Linked DNA regions of Mus musculus: all the other regions are reported to be linked to region 1. The links are microRNA targets in miRTarBase. Many come from high-throughput screens and were not tested one by one. Region 1 holds a microRNA gene; each other region holds the end of a gene's coding sequence.
What was found. The annotated mature microRNA mmu-miR-9-5p reads UCUUUGGUUAUCUAGCUGUAUGA and lies in region 1 at 2,090-2,112, opposite strand. An mRNA with a match to its seed (bases 2 to 7 or 8) in the 3' UTR can be bound and repressed. Matches are read on the target gene's strand: a 7mer-m8 pairs with bases 2 to 8, a 7mer-A1 pairs with bases 2 to 7 and ends in A, and an 8mer does both.

Region 1 (4,072 bases):
CTAGCCTCTATTCCTCCTTTTCCTAAAGCCTTCTACTCTCTTTTGAAGAGCCTGTGATCCAATGTGCTCATGGGAAACAATAATATAAAACTACTGTGGTTAGCAACTGAGACTCTAAGTGTTCCTGGGAATATGTGGTGTGTGTGTGTGTGTGTGTGTGTGTGTGTGTGTGTGTGTGTGTGTGTGTTTAGGGGGACTCTAGGATGCCCAAGAACTTGCTGTGTAGACAAGGATGACTTTGAATTCTTGATCCTTCGTCCTCTACTTTGCAACTGCTCAGATTATAGGCCTGTGCTATGATAGAGGGCTGTGTAGCCCTGGCTGTCCTGGAATTTACAGTGAAGACACTATACAGGAAACATTAAAGATGGTAATGATAAGGAAGCTTATTTTATTGATGCCCCTCCTCTGCCCATGCAAATTCCCAATAACAGAGAGGCTTCCCTTCTTTCTACTTTCCCAGTTGGCTCCCTTGGGGTGGGGAGTGTCACTTTCTCCAAGACAGAGTAAATGGAAGGAGCTTTGAGTGTCAAGCCAGTGAGTAATGTCAGCTGCTCACTTGTGCCTGTGTAACATGGGATCACATGGCATCTCTCAAGCAGCGGAAAAAGAAAACAGGCTGTGGCCAGACCATTAGTTCCAGCCTAGACCCAGCCTCTTTTCTCCTTGACTTAAGCTTCATCCCCACCACCCCTACCAAAACAAAACAAATTCCAAGCTTCTGGAATTTAAGAGGCCACTCGACTCTCCCTCCCCTAACTGCTAAAGAAGACACACACAGGCAATAGATTCCCTGAAGTCCCAGAATTTGAATTTGGATTCTCTAATATTTCCCCCCATGTAATACAAAATTGAATCATTATCTTCTAACTGTAAAATCAGGTCCCGGGAGGAAATTTTAAATTTATAAGAACCAGCGGAGTCTGGGTGATGACATTTTGCCCAGTTTTCTGCCTCTTATTAGTCGGTACAGCCCAGGTCTCCAAGTGCCAGCTGGTCAAGTTCGGCTGAGGGCCATGAGAGCAGAGGGGATTCCTAGCTCTGGCCATGTTTGTTAGACCATCTTCTCAGCTGTAGAAACCCTCTTTCACTAAAATATTTAGGTCAGGCAAGATAAATAGATTCTTTTTACAGGAGCCCAAATTAATCTCTCTAATTCTTTGCGTTCTCTGGGCAGCACAGCTACACATTCCTTTGTGTTTGAGCTCCACAGAGCTCCTTGAGGCCATTTGTTCCTTTGGGACACGATTTCCAAGAGTGAGGTTAGGACCGAAAGGTGGGATGCTCTAAAGCCCCCCACCCCAACTCTACACCTTTAGCCACTAATGACAAAGCAGCCAGAGAGAGTTCAGTTAGACTTAGCTCTGGTCCTGAAGGCCAAAGTGAAAGCAAAGAACCTGCGCCCCAGGGTCCCAGAATTCCTGTGGGGTAAAAAGGTCTCTGGCCACTCTGGCCCTTGCCCTTGTGGTTACTTTGTTTCTGCATCGCCATTCTCCCTAATAAGTTCGATGTGTGTGTTGGTTTTTAAGCCTTCCCCGCTCCTAGACCTGTTCCCACCTGGGCAATCTTGACTCCCAGTAAAGCTGAAGGGCTTCAGGGAAACCACCAAAGCAAAAACCAGCTTTCTAGAGACATCCTACGAACCTCGAACTCCACCAGTCGCTTCGAAGAGCCAGAGGGAAGCTGCTCACACCAGCCACCCGCTCCCGGGATGCGTCGAGACCGGGAGAGGGATGCTTGCACTTTCCCCCCAACCCTTCAGCCAAGGGCTCTGTCTCTCCCGGGAGCGGCTTCTCCGGACTGAGGCCCAGACTGCTCCATTTTGACCAGGCCTCCAGAGGCGACCCCAGAGCGGCTTCTTGCTTTCTTCCCAGGTGAGCAGGTTGCGGGTGGGGATCGCGAGGTGGCTCGGGCTGAGCAACCTTTGAAGGCGACGAGTCCCCCTCCCCCCAGCCCTCCAGCCTCCAGGCACGCCTGGCACGGCTCTCCCTCCTGCAGCTCGGCCACTACCAGCGTTCCAGGCCCTCTGCGCAGTGTATGGGGTTATTTTTACTTTCGGTTATCTAGCTTTATGAAGACTCCACACCACTCATACAGCTAGATAACCAAAGATAACAACCAACCCCGCCTCCTGGCCGCCTCCTCCTCTTCCACGCAGCCTCCCGGCCACCGCCTGGACCTCCGTAGTCTCGAGTCGCTCGACGGCGGATGGGGGACGCGCGTGGTGTGGAGGCGAAAAGATGGGATCCAGGACCTCACGCACTATCACGACGAGACCTCAGAAAGGCGAGGAAAAGATGCTACCGCCGACGGTTCTGAGGTCGGGAATCTAGGCTGAAACCAAGCGGCCCCAAGCCTGACCGCCCATTTCCCACTCCCTCCTCCGTGCAGAAGCAGGGTTCCGCCGGTGCTAGTGGAAAGGCTCCAGGGCCTTCGTGCCATCCGGGAAGACCGCAGAAGCCTAGGCCGAGGCCTCCCCAACCTCCCACGGTGTCCACACCCTTCTCTGGAAGGTCGAGTGTGAGCTCCGCGGGGTGCGGCAGAGCCGAGCTCGCAGAGCTGCTCCGAGCTACCGACTGCAGGGGAGCGGCCGCGAAGCCCCGGACGGGAACCCCAGCACTGGGGAACCCCGAGGCCCAGAGGGAAGCCTGTGGCTGGCGGCGGGGTGGAGGGTGATCTAGAGACTCCCCAGCGACTCTCCCAAGGGCAAAGACCCCACCCAGAGAGAATCGGGCGAGCAGTCAGGACGTGGGGCTGCGGGTTAGGGCAAAGGGTGACCAGGCAGGTGCTCCGAGCCCTGGACCTACGGAACCGCGCGGGAGCCGGTTTTGTGCAAAACGCAGCCGAAATCATTCAGAGATGTGAAATATGCCACTGGGGGTCTGAGTGAGAGATGCCCTTAGTGGCTGGAGGGGGCTATCTGGACTGAACCCACTGGAAGGAGGTCCAGGGACCGTGCAGAGGGTGTAGAGCTCCGTGGTCGCAGGTGGCGGACGCGCGCGCTGGACTCTGAGGCGCTTTCCCCACCTCGTGCCCCACGCGGGTCAGGCCACTTACATCAAACCCAGGATGCCCAGTGGTAGTGTCCTGCGCGGTCTTCAGGCGCGTTCCTACCCAGGCAGCGCCACGGACGTGGGTCAAGGATGCCGGGGCTTGCCAGGTAATGGGGCCGAGCGAGAGCCAGCAGGGTGGAGCAGGGTCTCGAGTCCCAGCTCTCTCCTCAGCCTTGGCCGCTGCTCTGGCGGGGGCGCTCTCAGGCTCCGGACTTTTCATTCATCCCTTCACACTCCTTCCTCAGGTCAGCCCCTGATTGGCTATACCTGGTCTGACGTCACTGTCTCGTTTCTTCCCCCCCTCCCCCCCAGCCTTTCCATGCCCGACCCCCTCCCTCCCCAGGCCAGTCCAAGACGTGCAATTGGGGTGCCCCTCCCCCAGAGAATGGGATCCAATGTCTTTATGCCAATCCTTAGTCTTTTGCTGCCTCATCTACAACCCGCCTGCCACGTCTATAATCCATTGCCAATTGCGGTTCTGATGGCCACCTTCGCTCTTCTTGTCGATCTTACATTTTCCTTTTGGGCTCTACGGTACATTGCACCAAGACCAGCACGCAAAAATAGAAAATAAATAGGGCAAAATTCCCTCAAAGAGAAGAGATCTGTAATCTCAGCACCAGGAGGTTGAGGCAGGGATGCGGACTGGAGACTCTATCTCTGACCCCCTCCCACCTCACCCCACCGTTAGAGTCTTTTTGAGTTCTAATTCCTCCCAAACTGTGATCCTAATATTTAGGAGAGGCAAGGGTCTCTTTTGTTCAAGGTTTTCAACTCAAACCCTCACTGAAGGGAAGACTGTGCAGTTTGAGTCTCCTGCTATGAGACAATGGGCGAGCAAAGGGGGCCCTCTTTTCTGCATTTCAGGGGAATGTTCCTTGACCCTATCTGCAGATAACCACAGAATCCTAGCTGCTTTTGAGACTCAGAATTTGGCCAAGTCCTGGAGACCTTTAATAGGTCTTTCCCTCTACCCATGTTCCTCCAGGCTCCCAGGCATGCAGTGCCAGCTCTGGGTT
Region 2 (3,000 bases), not on the chromosome of region 1:
TCTCTCTCTCTCTCTCTCTCTCTCTCTCTCTCTCTCTCTCTCTCTCTCTTTCCCTCCTCTTTTTAGACATGGACTTACTATGTTGTCCAAGCTGTACTTGGTCTTCTGGGCTCAAGCAATCCTCCAGCTTCAGCTTCCCACATAGCTGACACTACAGGTACACGAACGGAGCCCTCCTTGATCAGGAGACATTTATCAAATTAGTTACCTGATAAGGAATTGGCTTACACAGCCCTCTCTGTGGCCTTACCAGCCACACAGACCCAGAATATTCGGTGTGTGTGTGTGTGTGTGTGTGTGTGTGTGTAAACCACACCCAACCTGAATACATTGAAACAGAAAAAAAATAAAAGAAAGAAACAAAAACTCACCACACACATATTATTTTTCTTGTCATTATTACAACAACACGGTGTAAGGACTGACATAGCATTTACATCATATTAGGCATTATAAGTACTCTAGAGACGATTTAAATATAGGAGAATATGCATCATTATATGCAAATACTACACCATTCTACACGAGGGACTTGAGCATCCTCAGATTTTAGTATGCTGGAAGGTGCGGGGTGTGCTGGAACCAGTTCTCCATGGATACTGAGGGAAAACTGTCTTCTGTCTTTCCCACATTCTTATGTTCTCATCTGAGTTTCTGCTCCACTTGTCCTGGGCTACTTGGGGTGGGAGATAGGTCTCAATAACACAGGAACTCAACAAAATAAAACAAAAGTGTCCTCTGGCTTGCCTCTAGCCTTGCCTTAGATTGTTTGGCACTGGAAAACTCCTTTCTGATACTCCTATATAAAATGGCCTAGATTGGTGGTCTTCATGCCAAGATCTATGGATATTCCCAGGGACCTGGAGACCCCTGGAGATCTGCACTAGAAAGGGAAGCTGAGCTAGCAGCACCCCTAAACTCACACCCCTCGGAGCAGGAGTTTTAGACACAGGAGCTTATTGAAAGAACAGTCCTTAGGGGACCCTTGGAGTTGGATCACCAAGCTCCCTCCTGTCTGATCTGCTTGATCTTCTGAAGCCCAGCTCAAACCCATCCCTCTCCACGAGATCTTCCCGGTCACCTATTGCTGGGCACCTGAGCTCGGCAGTAACCCTGACCCACTAATGCCTGCTTCCCAGCAGGAGGCCAGTTCTCCGTTCCATGTCTCTCTCCCTTACAACACCCTTTCCAATGCAGGTGTTCAGTAAACTTGCAGATGGTGCCTGGTGTCTTGAGCTGTGTCACATGAGTGCTTTGGGTGGAGAAAGCTAATGGCCCTGAAGCAGGCAGTTGGTCAGGAGGAGACAGGGAGCCATAGTGGCAGGATGAGTCAGGAGAGCACTCTGCCACTGATCAGTGACACCGTCAAGCAACCTTACTGGGAGGCCTAGTCTTCAGAAACTGAGGACCTGATACCTAGACTTCAGGGTCCTGGACAACTCCACAAGAGCAACTTTGTGTTCTTGTCTTAACTAGATTCTGTTCACATTCTTCTGTCCCTTCGTACCTCTTCTGGCAAAGCCTGTCTGTACTCCTCAGCCATGAAAGAGGCACATCCTTGAAGCCTAAGCTTCAGCTCGGCTGCCTGTGACCCGGTAGGCCCATGGCTAGTAGGCATCTCAGAGAGTTTCAGAGCGGGGAAACTCAAAGGAAATGAGGAACTCTCCGGTCTACTCAGACTACAACTCTTTCTGGAGGTGGAGGCCCCAAGGGGAGGGAGGGCTCACAAAGAGAGGCTCAAGCAAAGAGACTGGGTAACTGCCAGAAGCAAAGGACCAAGACAGCCAGGGGCCCAGGGCCCTGAAGCTCACACTCAGGAGGAGACAGGGAGCTATAGTGGCAGCATGAGTCAGGAGAGAATCCTGCTGCTACCCAGTGACATGACTTTGGGGGACAATCAATCAACCATTCTCAGTGTCTTGACCAACTGCAGGCCACTGTGGAGTAACTTTGCAAAGGTCCAAGAAGACTGGCAGGTGTGGCAATGGTAAGGGGTAACTACTGCTCACTTACAGGGGAACATTCTGGAGTCAGCGTCCTATGGGGGAATCTTGGAATTTAGGGATACTCCAAAGCCGACCTTCCTGTCTCCTGCTTCTCTCTTGTCATCCACCTCTGTCCTGCTTTTGGAGAGCTTCTAGTCACACTGGTGAGTGTGAGCAGAACAGGACAGTGCAGGACAGAGGCCCGTGTTCACTTCCAGCCCAGAGAAGCTTCCCAAGAACTGAAGTGTCCCGATTAAGAGCCAATGAGAAGGGATGAGATTCAATAGGCTGTGGAGGTTCTTAAGGGTTTTTCTAGTCAGTGAGATACTCCAACTGGATCCCAAAGATGGAGTACCTTAGCGTCACTGAACTTCTTGTCACCCGGGAGACAGCTGATCAGCCTCCCCAATACCTGGAACTGCACATCTGGCCTCCCTCCTTTCCAGAGTAGGGGTCCTTGTTGGCACTGTGGGGACAGATGAGTCCTTAGTTGGTCACAGGGAGAGCCTGGTATTACCTTGCAAGGCCCTCCCACTGAATCCTCCAGATGCAGGGGTAAGTAGCAAAGAGATCAAGGCTAGAACATCTGGCAGGGTTTAGAATCCATACTTGGAGGGTAAGACATCATGTCAATAGGGAGAAATACCTTCAGGCTCTAGGCTAGTGTGGCATCTGCCTTATCTTCACCAACAGGGTTGTGGACCCTGGTCTGGCCTTCCTTGGCCTCTCTCAGCTGCTGTAGCCAGAGGTGTAGGTGCTGGGCCTACGGAGCCAAACATCTGGGAGATCTGGCTGACTGTTGGGAAGCATCACAGGGCTGATATCGCCTGGCCCTCCACGGCCCTTCCAGGATAAGCTGCTGTGGTGAGAATTGGGCATGTTTGGGTCATAGATGGTCTCCTTCAGTGCTAGCCAGAGGGTGTCGCGCTTCCCATTCAGCTGGCCCCGCTCAAGTATGGGGTGTCCAGTGCCATTCATGACTTCTGGGGAGGTACCCACAGAATCTGGCACACGG
Region 3 (4,072 bases), not on the chromosome of region 1:
GACCTAGTGAGATGCTCCAGTCAAGTGGCTTCAGCTCTTCTCATCGTTGTTGCTAATCCAGATAGAGTCGGATGGTTCGTGATGTAGAGCTGAAGGACCTGAGGCTCAGATTAATCTAGAGACCGGGGGTTCCCAGTGTCTAGGTGTTGGCCTTAGGATACAGTCTCAGGTCCGTCCATCTCCAAACCTGTCATCTTATCCCAGGCTCTAAGGCATCCTGGGCTTTTCATATGGAGAGTTACCAGGCCCTGGTCTGCACCCTGCATTTTATTTTCAAATGTGAAGTAAGCCAGGCAAAAAATCAAGAGTTTCATGCCTGGAGATGCAGACCTTGTCAGTGAGTCACTGAGAGGTAGGGCAAAGGAAATGTAATTGAAGCAATAGAGAAACCACGCCATCAGGTACAAGTAAGGTATTCTCGCTTTGTGGAAGTGTGATGGAAGAAAAGATAGAAGCCAGGGCCCAAGTCTTGGCTCCTTTTCTTACCGCCCAGCAGTGACTGCAGCTGCAGCTGCAACTGCAGGTGGGATAATTGTGGTTTTTCAGGTTACAGCAGTGGGGGCTTCCTAGAGCCAAACAGATAGACAGAACTTAAATGAGACACAAGGGACATACTGCTATGTCATGAACTTCCAGTGAGTATTTAGAATTCATATTGAAAAAAAAATTACCACTTTATTCCCTTGGAAGAATATCATTCATAGTCTACACTGAGAAAATCTCTAGGGATACCTGGATTTGAACTGTCAAAGTAGCTTAGTGTCATATGATTTACCGGCAGCAAAAGAGCAACCCCAGCAGAACGGGTTTATAGGTACAAGTCACTGTGCCCCAGATGAACTAGTTTGAACTCAAAGGTCATGTCATATTTTATAACATCTGCTTTTATGCACCTGGTACAGTTAAATGAATTTGGATTAACCTGTGTGATTTCTGTGTGTTCTAATTTTAGAACTGAACAATATTTTGGAAGTCCAAGTGACATGGCTTCTACTGCAGAGCACATCAGGGACAGAATGAAACTGGTCAGTCTCAAAAGGCAGCAGCTGAGACATCCCGAATTGGTGACCACGGAGAGCTAATGTCCCCAGCTCCCGCAGATCTGCAGGTCATACGCCCACATTCTTTGCTGCTGGCATTCTCTGGGGTTAGCCACAGCTCGTTAAGATGCATTTCACAGCGGGATAAGCCTCCTTTCTTCCCACGACACGTGTCTCTCTCTAAATGCTAACATTTCTCCACCACCAAGGCATAGTCACAACATGCTTTGAGACTGTAGACTCCTGGTATCCTAAGAGAAGGAATTGTAACCACCGCACTGAGTCCTCGCTTTCACGCCGTACCTGACTTGTCAGTTTGTAGCCAAACAACCAATACTAAGCTTTGAATGGTGCTAATCAGAGTTTAGGAATTCTCTATAAAACATGGCTGCCCTTCCTCCCCAGGTGATGTAGGATATTTAGACCATAGTTAGACTGTTAGTGAATAGTGGTGTCCTCAAAATTTTACTTTGTAATTCTTCAAAATTGATTATTTTTAATGTCTATATGAAGAAAACCCTTCAGATCTTTGATATATCATATTCATTGAAAGACATTTTCCTATTGTATTCATAATGTATTAAAAGTTGTTTGTGCTTAATAAAAATCTTCTTTAAACATCTTATTTAATTTGGTAGTTACGTCCTGCTTCTAAACACGAGTGCCTTACTAACGGGGCATTCTTAGAATTGTAAGGAGGGTTAATCATTGTTTGTGATGGTGGATGCATGTATTTTAGGCAAGAATTTCATATGTATGCATGTGTATATAATAAAAAACAAGCATGTTTATTGTGAAGAATAATTTAGACCATTAAGAACATAATAATAGAATACTATTTTAAACTTTTCTCTTGAAAAATGGTGTCCAGAATATTAGCTCCCCTGAAGACACTTTGTCTGTGGGGAAGGAGGGCTAAAGATGAAGGTATACATACTCAATGTAATCTTTTATATCACAGCAATCACTCTGGAACTAAAGCAGAAATTGTTAATAATATTTAATATCTCATGGTATTAGAGGCAAAAAAATCATCCTGAAGTATAGTCACAAAAACTGTATAGATCTTTAGAAATAAAATTTGTCATAAAATGGTAATGCTTTTATGTTTGTATTAAGTTATAAAATGTATATACTTTAACATTGTGTTAATTTTAATTTTAGAATATATTTTAAGGTGAAAATAACTGGGCTTATCAGTACAAAATTATGCAAAGAATCGTATGCAGGTTTATTTTTCTGGTCTGTAAAGACGATCACGTACCTTCCTATGTTCAAGCCAGTTTCTCCAGCCTTCTTTTTTGCCAGCCTTGATGAATTTCATCATCCTCACCCTCACCCTGTGTCACCTTTCAGTCAGCTTTGCGCCTCACTTTACAGGAAACGGCCATAGTCTTCTGGGTCCCGCATTGAATGTTTTTGCTCTCTGACACGTCACCTTCCTTTCGCTCCGTTTCTAGTCTCTCCCTAACAGTGCTCCATCCCTCAGTGGTGCTCTCTCCTGCCATGTGAGGGCATGGTTTAGGTCTGTTGCACATGCACACTGTGCTGCTGTCCTCAGCTCTTGCTCATTGGGCATCCCATCCCTAGTCCTGCATTTCACGTCCGATCCCAATTGCATAGCTTTCAGCTGACTCGGTCCTCTCCCCTAAATGAAAGCATATCCTACTTGCCTTTTCTTCCTGAGTAGTTTTGATTAATGGTGCCAACAATGTCCAGGGCAAACCTCAGCTGTTCCCCATGTCTTACTCTGCCTCTGAGACCATCCAGAAGTCTTTTCTATACTTGATAACCCTTCTTCAGGGCTCGCCTCCTGTGCATAGGAGCTCCTGTGATTCTTTCTTCAGTCTTCATGATGGTGCTAACTTTTCCTGTTACATCATAAAGTCCTCTTGGGGGTGACTCTTGTCCCACATGTCTTGTGCCTAGACCTTTGCTCATGTGTGACATGCTCAGTCCTACAGCTGTGTTCCTTTGTCAGCGTTAGTAATAATCTCTCCACTACTGCAGTCTGAGGTCTATTTAAACAGTGTTTGGCTTTTCCTAGCGTTAGAACTGACTTGTAAATCTGTGTCCATGGAATGTGTCTGATGTTTTAGATCCTTAGATGTGGAACTTTTAGATATTGTTTATATTCAGTATCAGTCTCTTTTTACTGAGTTTCAGCATCATCAGTATCTTTATTTGACTTGGTAATTATGCCATCAGCTCATGGATGCATAATTTCAATTTAATTTTCATATATCTTAAGCCCTCTTCCCTGCAAAAAGTGGAATAAGACAAACCATGGAAATGCCATGTCGGACTTGAAAGTTAAATGGAACGAGATACACAGAATGGACATAGTCGCTCTTCTTTGGCAAATGTGGACCCCTTTTCCATGGGTTTATCTTTATAGATACACAAGAGTTATGAATAAAAACCGAGCAATGCCCAAACTGACTTTCCTCATGTGGTCACAGTTCACTTAGAGGACATATGAAGGAGGTGACTTCGGTTTGTGTGAAATCTCAGGCCTTTGTTATATTAATACTGACATTGACCTAAAAATGTCATTAAAAAGAAATACTTCCTTCTTACTGGTTCAATGCCGCAGCCCCCTGCATTATTTTAACCCTTCTGGAGGTTGACTGACACATTAGCTAGCTAACTTTTGTGTCTGGCTTTTTTTTTTTTTTTCTTTTTTGCCCGTGCCTATCTTTGTTCCTGTGTAAACTCAGCAGACAATGGCAATTTGATGTCTTCTCTTAGTACGTATCTGACTCGGCAGAGCTGTGATGCAAAGACGATAACTTCCTTTGAGACCAGTTTGGCTGCATTCCCAGTTCTCATCGTTCTGACCTTATTTTACAGGGGAGTCATTAGTGATCTTGGTGAGAGCTCATCCTGTTAGCTTCCATTCAGTACAGGAGAGTGGGCTGGATCTCGTACTTCATTGGGATTGAAAGTGGCTTGTGGATGTTATCTACTCGGAATGTGTCCGTCACTGCAGTATTCTCAGTTGATAGGTGGTATGATGTCAGTATTGTGAC
Region 4 (4,072 bases), not on the chromosome of region 1:
TCTATTATCAGCAGGTAAGGGCCTGGACAGGCCATGGGGTGTGCCTAGAACATGGCCCTGTCAGTCCCATTGGAGGTCCTGGCTCCAGCTTTGCCTTTGCCCAGAGTTTGATCCTACCCACAGCTGAACACAGAGCTCAAGGAGAATCTGAAGGACACCATGGTCAAGAGATACCACCAGTCAGGCCACGAGGGTGTGAGCAGCGCTGTCGACAAGCTGCAGCAAGAGGTGGGTGCCCCTAGAACTGCCCGCCCTCTCGGCATGGTGCCGTGTGCCGGCAAGCGCTGAGGCTCAGCCATGTGCCCCTTGTAGTTCCACTGTTGTGGCAGCAACAACTCTCAAGACTGGCAAGACAGCGAGTGGATCCGCTCTGGTGAGGCAGACAGCCGCGTGGTTCCTGACAGCTGCTGTAAGACTATGGTAGCTGGCTGTGGTAAGCGGGACCATGCCTCCAACATCTATAAAGTGGAGGTAGGTGGGTTCTCAGCAAGGGGCGGGGCTAGGCCGGACTGGTCTTCAGGCAGCCTGGCCCACCACCCTTCTCTCCCACTAGGGTGGCTGTATCACTAAGCTGGAGACCTTCATTCAGGAGCACCTGCGGGTCATTGGGGCGGTGGGCATTGGCATCGCCTGTGTGCAGGTCTTCGGCATGATCTTCACCTGCTGCTTGTACCGAAGCCTCAAGCTGGAACACTACTGACCACGATGATGTCAGGCCGGGCGGCCAGCCTTGCACTACTGACCACGATGATGCCAGGCTGGGCGGCCAGCCTTGCACTATGTCCCAGCCCCACTACTGAACACTACTGACTTAGACTGCTGACTGCCAGAGGTAGCTACCCTCATGCCATCGCCATGACCCCCCCTGGCATGCCACCTCAGGGGCATGCACCTTCAAGTGCCTTTCACTGCACACCAAAGTCCCAAAGCTCGAAGCAGCGTACTTGCCCCAGCATTAAGAAGGGGGGGGGGGGTGGGGGGTTCAAATGCCAGTGTTGGGCTAGGCCTGGCTAGTAGAATAGGGTTTAGATTATTTGACAGAAGTGCCTCTTATGCAGACTGCTTCCCTTTGGGTAGCTGTGATCTGCAGTAAGTCTGGGGAGAACCTGAGTACACCACTACACGTTGGGTAAAAGCAGGTGGGGCCTTTCTGGTTGGATTAGGCACCCTTCATGCCTGCTACCAGGAACTCTCAGATCTGCTTGCCCCAAACAAATGGTGTAAGCTGAGGGAAACTCCAACCCCACACTTGATGCTCTGTCCTCTCCACACAGGCCTCTTGCTCCTAACAGCTCAGCCCTGGCCTTTTCTCACTACTGATAGCATCATGTAAATGCTCCATGTTCCTGTACACTGTCTCCTTTTGGAGCATCTCTGAATGGAGCATGGCTGTTTTCATCTCACTGCTGTATTCCAGATGCTGCCCACAAATGCTCCTGCTATGTAACAGGTGCTCAATAAATGTAAATGTATAAGCACTCGAATCAGCTTGCTGACAGGACCTTATGGTCCAGGGTAGCTGGAGTACTCACAAGAGTCAAGGTTGGTGAAGCCCAATGGCAATTACAGTTAGGGTGAGCACTGGTAGCTGGAACATCCCCCCAGCCCACTGTGGCCTGGACTTGTCCATGCTCAAGGAAGAGTCTGTAGGCCTTGCTAGGGTCAGAGGGCAAGGGAGGCACCAGGGCCTGTTGGGGATGCCCTGGCTCCTGTTTCTCTGGCTTTAGCTCATCTAAGCAGCTGAGAAGAGGTCCTAAGCTGATTTTGTTCCCCACAGTCTTCTGTGCCAGCTGGAGGAGGCCACTATGGGTTCTCTGGACTCTAGCCTAAGGCAAAGCCTTTTTCTTTTTTTTTTTTTTTTAAAGATTTATTTATTAATATATGTAAGTACACTGTTGCTGTCTTCAGACACTCCAGAAGAGGATCTTGTTGCGGATGGTTGTGAGCCACCATGTGGTTGCTGGGATTTGAACTCTGGACCTTTGGAAGAGCAGTTGGGTGCTCTTACCCACTGAGCCATCTCACCAGCCCGCCTTTTTCTTTAAAACAACAAAAAACCAGGGGTGGGGTAGGGTGGGTATGCTATGCCACACACACCTTTAATCCCAGAATCCAAGAGGTAAAGGCAGGCTGACTGTTGTGAGTTTCAAACCAGCCAAAGCTGGTCTCAAAAAACAAAACAAAAAAACCCACCAAAATTCTCAAAGGGATCAATGTGCTAGAAAGAACCCGGGGTACTTGATGCAGATGCCTAGGAGCTAAAGCACTACACCACCTCCTTTGGCCTAGAGTAGGCTTCTTAGGACTACATGCTGTGGGGATTGGGTCAAGGGGCAGGGCTGCCTAGCTGTCGGGCCTGGGAAGATTCTGGAAACAAGATCCTCAGGCATGGGCAGCAGATAGGCTCACACAGCTGATGGGCTTTAGGACCCAAGAAATTCGTGAGGCCTGTGGCCTTGGGCGTACTCCTACAGTATCTGGGTTTGGTTGGGTGGCACAAGCCGTCCTTTAAACTCAACACTCGGGAGGCAGAGACTGATCTCTTTAGTTCAAGGCCAGCCTGGTCTGCAGAGTTGAATTCCAGGATAGTCAAGGCCAAACAGAGAAACCCTGTCTTGGAAAATGAAAGGTAAATAAATCTGGGTTTGATTCCCAATACCTGATGGCAGCTTATACATTCTATAACTTTACTCTCAGGGGATCTGGCCTCTGTGGGGACACAGTGATACAAAGACTTATAAGCAGACCAAATACCCAAATGCATAATAACCCTAGCACAAGGATTGGGACCTCCAAGCACGCTCAGCATTCCAAAGGAATATTGTCACCAGGCTTGGGCCCATCCATACCTGTGGATGGTGTGGTGCCCACATCCATTATGCCCATCCTGAACACAGGCAGGAAGCGGAGAGGCCCTAAAGCAATGTGGTACAAGACTACTGTAGGGCTACCTCGTTGATCAAAGTGGTCAAGGCCCCGGGGAACGGAAGCAGGGTACTCCTCCACAGGACGAGACTCCCAGTCAGATGAAGGGGAAGGAGACCAGCCCTAGGGGAAAGACTGGAGGCAGGCCAGGTAGCCTCAGAGACAGCACAGACATGGACATGGAGCACCTTGGAAGTTAGACCTGTTGGTGGTTCTGCAAACATCTTTACTAAACAGTTCCTTCCAGGGTAACAGGACTTAGCCACAGGGCCACAGCCAGGCAATACACCAACATCCCCAATAGCTCAGTTTGAACATAGCACGACAGGCTGCCCGTGGCCAGCAGGAGACAGAGGAGGGCAGGCTCCAGCGGTCACTTCTCTAGGGGTGCATAGTTCAGCAGCTTCTCAATCAGGTCCACGTGTGCTAGCAGCATGCGGCGGCAGCAGTAGCGCTTTAGGCCCAGAGCGTCCAGGGCATCCCTGTAAAGAGAAGAGTGAGGCTGGATGTGGTCTCTAGAGTCTGGATAGGTTTGGAACCACCTCCAGCTTGCCTCTGGGTATTCGTGTGGATAGGGGTTACCAGAGCACATCTACATAATCAGCGATTGAAACCTGACACCAGGCCATAGGGAAATGGCCTGGAGATTTCTGAAATATGTATCTAGATGCTCAGGGAGGAGCCAGGTGACCCTTTCCCCACCTAGAAGTTACACCTGCTCATGTGCCAGTCTTCTCCCATAGCATCCTGTATCCATCCTTAACAGCCTTCTGCCTACACCTGTTTTTTAAAATTTCGTTTTATGTGTATGGGTGCCTGATGCTCCCAAAGCCCAAAGGAGTTACGGACACTTGCGAGATACCATGTTGCTTCAAGGAACGGAACCTGAGTCCTCTTAAAAAACAATCAAACAACCAAACACACAAAACAGCCAGTGCTCTTAACAGTTGAGCCATCTAGCTGGGTGTGGTGGTGCACACCTTTAATCCCAAGCACTTGGGAGGTAGAGGCAGAGGCAGGTGAATTTCTGAGTTCGAGGCCGGCCTGAGCTACAAAGTGAGTTTCAGGACAGCCAGGGCTACACAGAGAAACCCTGTCTTGAAAAACAAAACAACAACAAAAAAAACAGTTGGGCCATCTCTCTAAC

Region 2: the mRNA of Disp2 is a reported target of mmu-miR-9-5p. The part of its 3' UTR that is shown has no 7-base or 8-base seed match.
Region 3: miRTarBase lists Sestd1 as a target of mmu-miR-9-5p. The part of its 3' UTR that is shown has no 7-base or 8-base seed match.
Region 4: the mRNA of Cd151 is a reported target of mmu-miR-9-5p. Seed matches in the 3' UTR shown: 7mer-m8 at 915-921.

Annotation. Positions count from the first base shown.
Region 1 is chr3:88,213,653-88,217,724 of GRCm38, reverse strand. Mir9-1 (microRNA 9-1) reads right to left here and starts at 2,127; the gene lies at 2,039-2,127. All of the region lies in intron 2 of Gm3764 (predicted gene 3764), which reads right to left. Mir3093 (microRNA 3093) reads right to left here and starts at 2,554; the gene lies at 2,468-2,554. Gm25641 (predicted gene, 25641) reads left to right here and starts at 2,055; the gene lies at 2,055-2,112.
Region 2 is chr2:118,792,541-118,795,540 of GRCm38, reverse strand. Disp2 (dispatched RND tramsporter family member 2) reads right to left here. Exons shown (of 8, transcript NM_170593.3): 8 at 366-3,000. The coding sequence ends at 2,715. Among named protein-coding and RNA genes, the nearest start is that of Gm38629, 4.7 kb to the left of the region's middle.
Region 3 is chr2:77,184,141-77,188,212 of GRCm38, reverse strand. It overlaps Sestd1 (SEC14 and spectrin domains 1), which reads left to right. Exons shown (of 18, transcript NM_175465.6): 18 at 953-4,072. The coding sequence ends at 1,082. Among named protein-coding and RNA genes, the nearest start is that of Ccdc141, 16 kb to the right of the region's middle.
Region 4 is chr7:141,469,998-141,474,069 of GRCm38, forward strand. It overlaps Cd151 (CD151 antigen), which reads left to right. Exons shown (of 8, transcript NM_001111049.1): 5 at 1-14; 6 at 124-228; 7 at 313-471; 8 at 554-1,484. The coding sequence ends at 700. Polr2l (polymerase (RNA) II (DNA directed) polypeptide L) reads right to left here. Exons shown (of 2, transcript NM_025593.1): 2 at 1,863-3,407. The coding sequence ends at 3,299. Among named protein-coding and RNA genes, the nearest start is that of Polr2l, 3.1 kb to the right of the region's middle.